Linked DNA regions of Oryzias latipes. The protein of the gene in region 1 purifies or fractionates together with the protein of each later gene. This does not show direct contact. Links are inferred from orthologs where the notes say so. Each region holds a gene or a part of one and is shown on either strand. Other genes may lie near its edges.

What was found.
Region 2: the proteins of dkc1 (region 1) and H/ACA ribonucleoprotein complex non-core subunit NAF1 purify together in Homo sapiens (co-immunoprecipitation; 7 studies listed by BioGRID and IntAct, counting the BioPlex papers as one, with this or other methods). This does not show direct contact. The link is inferred for Oryzias latipes from reciprocal best matches to the Homo sapiens genes DKC1 and NAF1.

The regions. Positions count from the first base shown.
Region 1 is NC_019880.2:44,515-47,745, forward strand, and holds the end of dkc1 (H/ACA ribonucleoprotein complex subunit 4), read right to left. Parts: intron 3,069-3,231; coding exon 2,942-3,068; intron 2,667-2,941; coding exon 2,536-2,666; intron 2,347-2,535; coding exon 2,203-2,346; intron 2,132-2,202; coding exon 2,011-2,131; intron 1,975-2,010; exon of another isoform or gene 1,898-1,974; intron 1,832-1,897; coding exon 1,713-1,831; intron 1,633-1,712; coding exon 1,529-1,632; intron 1,335-1,528; coding exon 1,292-1,334; intron 1,022-1,291; coding exon 869-1,021; intron 799-868; coding exon 739-798; 3' UTR 519-738; downstream 1-518.
Region 2 is NC_019859.2:6,670,460-6,674,213, reverse strand, and holds the start of H/ACA ribonucleoprotein complex non-core subunit NAF1, read right to left. Parts: upstream 2,569-3,754; 5' UTR 2,437-2,568; intron 2,056-2,436; coding exon 1,445-2,055; intron 1,313-1,444; coding exon 1,180-1,312; intron 1-1,179. UniProt on the Homo sapiens protein: RNA-binding protein required for the maturation of box H/ACA snoRNPs complex and ribosome biogenesis.

The sequences.
Region 1 (3,231 bases):
ATGACTTGGGGGGGGTCAGTTAGTCCAGGTGGTTTTGGGCATGGCCTCTCACTGGTTCCATCTCCTGACCAGCTGTTTCCTCTCTGTGGGCTTTCACTGCATCACTGCTTCTTCTCTTTCAGCGTTTGTCTCCTTAGTTTCCATCAATCAGTTTTTGGTGGGACAGTACCTTCCTCTCTCTCCCTGCTTCTACCTCGTCTGACCTTTCACTGAAATCCACATTCAGTGACTTTATCAGCCAAACTCATCCATACCGAGGTTGTTACAAATTGACCTAAAAACTATCAGAAACAAAACGGGTTCATGCCCGTCGGGTACATACTTCAGCACCTGCCCCCCCTTCTTGCCTCGTATTGAAAAGTACCCTTTTTCTTTAAATCAACATGAATACATTTGTGTTGAAGATACAAAAAATGTGGCTACCAACCCCTAGTGTTCCATCTAACCCATTTTCTTGTAATCCAGGGTTACGGCAGACCACAGATCTTTTTTTTGGCTCACCAGTGCACCATTAACTGTTCAGTTCCAAACAGAAAATTTATTTTATTTTGCCATAAAAAAGTAAAATATTTACACAAGAATTTGATCACTTCTATACAAAAACTCTTCTGCTTCTGAATGTTGTCAGCATGAGGTCGTTTCTGCAGGCACAAAACACGCCATCCCCACAGACGCCATGACACCGCCACAGACTGCTGAGGCCCATTAGAAGTTCGGACAAGCCCGTTTATGACATCATCACTCCGAGCCAGGTTCTTCTCGTTTCTTCTTTTTTTTTTTCTTGGCACTTTCTGTGACCTGTAGGAAAGGAGACTGTTCAGAGCTTCTGGATGGTCCAGCCCATTGTGTTCCCTCGTTTATTACAGACCTGATCTTGCACTGTGTCCGTCTCCTGTGGCTCCGCCTCCTCCATTCTGGACCGCTTCTCCTTTTTCTTTTTCTTCTTTTCTTTCTTCATCTCCTCTGGGGACGCGCTCGTGGGCGCCGCTTCGCCATCACTGCCTGATGCCTCCCTTTTCCTCTGGAACACAAAAGGCTGCTTCAAGCCACATTCGCTTCCTTTCACGTGGACTTCATGCAGAACAGAACCCAGGTTTATAGAGTTCCTGCATCATGTTCCACAGAAAAAACACTTCGCTGCATATAAAATAAGATATTCTAAATAAATCCCTTGGAACCAAAATCCAACTTTTATGGGAAAAGTTTATTCAGCAAAAACTGACAAATTAAGTCAAATTGGAAAGTTTAAAGCCGAACTGGAGCAGGTGACCTTTAGAAGCAGATCTTTTACCTTCACTGAAGAGTCAGGAGCTTCTGCTGCTGCCACTGAGACGCTGTGGAAACAGAACTCTGTTAGTTTGGCAGGTGATCAACACAGTAATGTCCTCAGGTGGGCTTCATGACACCAGTGCTGGAAGAAGCTCCAACTGAGAGTTTCTGTAGCAGAGCGACTCCCTCCAGGAGCACGGCAGCTCAGAGAGGGATAACTGTCTGCAGGTCAGACGGACTGCTCCGCCCACCGCCATACCTGTAGTCCACATAGTGCTCTTTCCAGTCCTGTGGCGTGCTGCCGTTGGGCTTTCCATGTTTGTCCAGGAGACCCTTTTGAATCATCGCCTTCTTCTGAGTCGCCTAACCAGAAACAGGTTGGTTGGTCTCAACCACAACTTAATAATCCAAGAACCAGCATGTAAAAGCAGGAAGTGTCATACCTTTGGGCCCAGACCCCACTTCCGAGGATAAGTGTCCCGCTCCATGATCACCCTTTTGATCTTTGCCACAAAGCCGTGGTCACATGTGGAGATGACGGCCGTGGTCATCAGGGCAACAGCTGGAGAGCAGAAAGCATTTGTCACTTATGTCTGCTTTATCCAGGAATCGAACGTTTGGACCGACAGGCCATCAGACAAGGGTGATAGATAAAAGGTCGCCACGGCCCGAAGGCTGCTGCAGCTTCTCTAGTCATCATGTGGCCTGGACACACCTGTACATGTCCTTCACAAACCTCACCTGTGCAAATGGCTTCTCCTTTGGTTGTTATGACAACAATGTCCTGGTTAACCTCGATGCCGTCTTCATACCTGAGCACACCTGGCAGCATGATTTTTGCTCCATAACAGATGGCGTTGACCTACAAAGTTGTGTTGCATCAGACCACACTGCACCGCCTCAATGCACTGAAAACCTTCCAGGAAGACTCACCGAACTGTCCTTCATCACCAGCCGCCGGTGCGACACCAGCAGCTTCTCCAGGGGGAAAATGACCCTTCGCAGGTACGTCTCGTCCTTGTTGTGGTCAAACTGCCACTGCGCGTCTAGAACGTCGTGCATGGTTACCATGTTGTCCTGGAAGAACACAAGCCCTCAGCGCAGATGTGGCAGAAGAAAGACTCCGTAGTTTGGACACACACCGCACTTCAGATTCTCAGCTGCCGTTAATGTTCCAGAGTCTAATTTTCAGGTCTGCACCAAGCAGCAGAGCTGCACTCAACACTCTGGACAGGTGACTTCACACCAACAGGTAACAGGGCTGACCTTCTCCCCCAAAACGCCAGATCGGACTCTCCTCAGCTCCTGCATCTGACCGCCAACGCCGAGGAGCAGCCCCAGGTGCACACACAGAGTCCGGATGTATGTTCCTGCTTCACAGCTCACCCAGAAGATGCCTGCAACACAACAGCAAAGCACGGCCGTCACCACACATCAGCGACTGAACTTCCAACTCCTAAAGCAGCCGCAGGAACCAGCACTGGGGGGCTTGGTGGGTCCTGTTTGTGAACAGCAAACGCTCCAGGTACTAAATCTGAAGTTCTCAAGCTGATAAACTTAAGTCCCAGGAGGTTCCAAGGTCTACTTTATCACCTGTCCAGGTGAGTTTCATCACAACCATCAAAGTGACGGATGGAGCCTAATATACAAAGTGGCAGTGCCGGGTTCTTACCCAGCCTTCGTTCCGGGTCATACTCTATCAGTTTGCTCTCATAGATGGTCCGGACTCTAAGCTGGCGCTTCACAGCAGCGATCAGTGGCGGCCGCTGGAATAAGGCTCCTGTAAGCGTTTCCAGTGCCTAAAATACATCAAATGATAAAAAGGGAGTAATGTTAGGGTTTACGTCATTATCATTTGCTTACACGCCATTATCACCATATTATTGTCTCAGTTCCATATTTCAGAAAGAAAACAATGACCTGAAATGTTCTGATTACACAAGAATATGTTGTTCCTGATTA
Region 2 (3,754 bases), on another chromosome or scaffold:
GCGCTTTTGCTCACGTGTCTGGAGCTTCTGAAGTTACAGTAAAACAACTTGGGGGCGCTCAAACACAAAACTGCCTTGCTGAGCACACATACCAGCGAAGAAGATAGACGCCAAGTAGCGTCTACACACAGCCGCGAAGCAATAATGACGGACATTCTAAAATATCCCCGAACGAAGCACCAGTTGGAGCTACTGGTGCTTGAAATATTCATGTTTTCTTTGTTTGATTCTGACAAGCGTGTAAATACTTGCTCTCTTCTTCTGAGTGAAAAGCGACTTTAAGAAGCATAAAGTTGCGCAGCGCCACCTTGTGTACAGGAGTATTTCTGTTTTACATTAAGCGCCATCTAATGTCAGGGAATGAAATTGCATGTTCACTCCACTCATCGTCAGCGAAAATCGCCTGGGTGTGAACACAAAAAACGTGGCGAAAAACGCTGGCGAATAACGCCTGGCAAATATTCGTCCCGGTGTGTACGGGCCTTTAGAAGATTCTTCTTTAATTTGATATTTTCTTTTTTTCCTGTTCAGGTCCAACCATCTGCCTGTTGCTTTAGGTTGCCCTCAAGATCACTTACTTCCTTTTTAATGCCCTGCAAAATCCGAAAAAAACTGAATGACTAAATAATCTTGGTGAAGGCAAATAATTGGTTGGATAAAACATTAAAAGAAGCGATTTTCCCAATATCTTTTGCTTTTGATTTATTTTGAACCATTGTTTTTGTTTCTGCACTGCCAGCACAAATTTGTCAAGCCTCTTTGGCAATGTGACATCTAAAATATAGACTTGATTTCTAATGTAGAAAACAAAACGTAAAAAGCAAGAACAAAAGTAATGTCTTTAAATCCTAAAAAGCTAGAGTGCATGTTTTATGTTAGAATAATCGGTTATCAAAAATACAAGGTGTTTTTTTCTTTTCTTTTTAAAAGTTGGTTCAATTTAAATGGACGCTCTTTCCTTTCATATCTATAAGGACATTAATAAAGGAACAACGTGATCCACTCGCTTCTTTAAAAAAAAATTCTTTTTGAAAAACTTTTTTTTAAATGAACACTACATCATGCTAGATTATAAATAAATCTAAAAAAAGTGTGAATTTAGCTGCAAATTTAGGGTTATAGAAATGTAACACGCTTGTGCTTTTATTTGAGCTTTCAAAACAAAGTGTCAAGACTGACCTCAAAGCAGATTTCATCTTTACTTTTGACAGGGACCGGCTGGCTGAAGCCTTCATCATCATCATCCTCGAACAAGGGACGGGAGGGCGAAGAGGAGGATGAGGAAGAAGATGAAGAAGAGGATGAACTATCACTGGGGATGGGAAAAAGAGGATTTAGAATCATCTTTATCCCCTTAAAGCGCCTTCATTTCATGTTATATGATGTAAAAAGCAAAAACAAAAGATCTACCACTTCATTGATCTGTGTGTGTGTGTGTGAGTACCTGTCTGAATCTTCAGTCTCCTCTTCATCCTCGCTGTTTTCAACCATACATACGGTCATTGCAACCAAGGATACTGGCGTCTGCTCATCTCTTGTTTTTTCAGGACGGGTCTCTGAATATGGGGGTGTGGCCTTGTTAAGGGTCATAATGGGATTTGCCTCTGGTTTTGCCAAAGAAACCTCCATCTCCTCCTCCTCTTCTTCTTTTTCCACCACTGATAATTCCTGCTCAGTTTCTCTCAATGTTCCATCTTTCTCCTTTTGTTTTAACATAAGTCGTTCATTGTTCACGAGTAATCTCGGCTCTTCCTTCCCTTTTAGCTGCCCTGGTAACACTTGATCACTTTCCCCAATTTTTCTTTCATGCCCCCCTTCTTTCATCTCTACCTCCAGGTGGTTTTCTTGACTTAATCTTTTAGTCTCATCTTCTTCCATCTGTTCTGGTAACTCCAGCCTATTATCTGTCACGGTTGTGACATTTTCTTCCTCTTCTATTGGCACTAATAATTCCTGGTGAAAATCTCCTGTTACTTTTGCATTCTCATTTATCTGCACAGGCAACTCCTGATCTAATCCTTTATCCTCCTCTTCTTTTGGAAATGTTGCATCCATCTGCCGACCAACACAGTTAAATTTGTTAGTAAGTAATGTTAAAAAGCTTTCTTTGCTTAAAAATAAATAAATAAAAAAAATAAAAAGCGAAACTTTACCTGTAGCTGTACATGATCGTTTAAGCTAAGGCTAATAATACGACCATTATAAAACATTACCAAACCTATTTTATCAGAAACCTTCTTTATAAAATAAGAAGACTTTTACAGTCTATTTTTGTTTAACAACCAGATATCTAGCAGATTAGCAACAACCAGTGAATTAGAGGAGCTAAGAAAATAAACGTATAAACAAACAGATTAGCATATTAGCTTGCAAGCTAATATCATGCTGAACACAAATTTTGTTTACTAAAACACAAAAGAAATAATATAATGTTACCTTAAAACTTCTTAAACATTCCAGGAAGGCATAAATTATGCTTCAGTTAGGATAAATGTCGCCTACTTAAACTAGCAACTGAATCTACACTTCAACAATCTTCAAAGCGGAAGAATTCTGAAGCTTCTTCCTTTGCGTTACCTTCAAAATAAAAGTCCAGCGGAGGGACGTTTCAATGACGGAGATAGTTTGGACCTGATCTGAGCGCGGTACAAAGAAAGAACAGTGGTTAAAGACGTTTAAATGAGTTTCAAGGTTATAGTTGCTCGGAAGCATGCAACAGAAATACCTAAATGAACATTTGTGAATGTGATGCGTGAATAAATTGTGATAGTTTGGTGTGAGAGAAAATTAGAATTGAGTGATAGCAAGTGAATTGCAGTGAGAACCCTTGAAAAAGATCAGCCAGAAAAAGAGGTAGCTAGTAATATTATTAAAGTAATTAAAGCTACTTAAGCAATGAAAATTTAACGTACAACTACCCATATTTTGTGTATTCCGAGACAAAATTTTAAAAGTTGAAGACTTATATTTTGAAGATTGTTTCGTCTTTCCGGTTCACATTAGAACTTGATTCAGTAACAGACACGTGTTTGCTGTCGCTGCACGCGGGGCTCTGTTTTTCCGCATGTGCGCGAGAGGGTGCGCAATGGAATAAATCCGGGAAAAAGCTACATTTTAGAGGGATTAAAATTTAGAAATGATTTTCAATTCGTTCTGTTGGCTTGTCTGACCTGTGCTGCACCCTCTGAGATTACGCACAAAATCAATGTTCCATTCATATCGTGGTTTTGCAGATCTTTGTCACCAAACTACCGTTGTCCGTTAAACTTCTTTCTGCTGTTGTTTTGAGCAGCTAAACTGGCTTTTCTGTAGAGACCATAAAGTGAATACATCATTTTTGTTGTTACAGTTACAATAGGTACCAATATTGGTCTTTTTACTTTTACCCCCCCCCCCCCCCCCCCAAATAACTAGATTGAGTATGTAATTTTCCAATTTTTTTTAATAAAGAGAAAATTACAGCTTTTATTAAAGCCAGAAATAGTAAAAACACGTTCAACTATGAAAAAAAACATTGGTTTCTTGACAGGTTCATGAATGAATATCATTGCTAATTATTTGCTGCAGCACCATGACTAATTAATTATCAACTTTTTTCTTTTGAGTAAAATGTATCATATGTTCTACTGTTTTTGGAGTTTTTTTTAACCAATTGAAATGATGTAAAGAAATCCAAAATGTTTAATCATAAGTGTTACTTAGTTTATTCAGCAACTTTTAAAAATCTCAACATTTTTTCATTTGTAGATGTTTT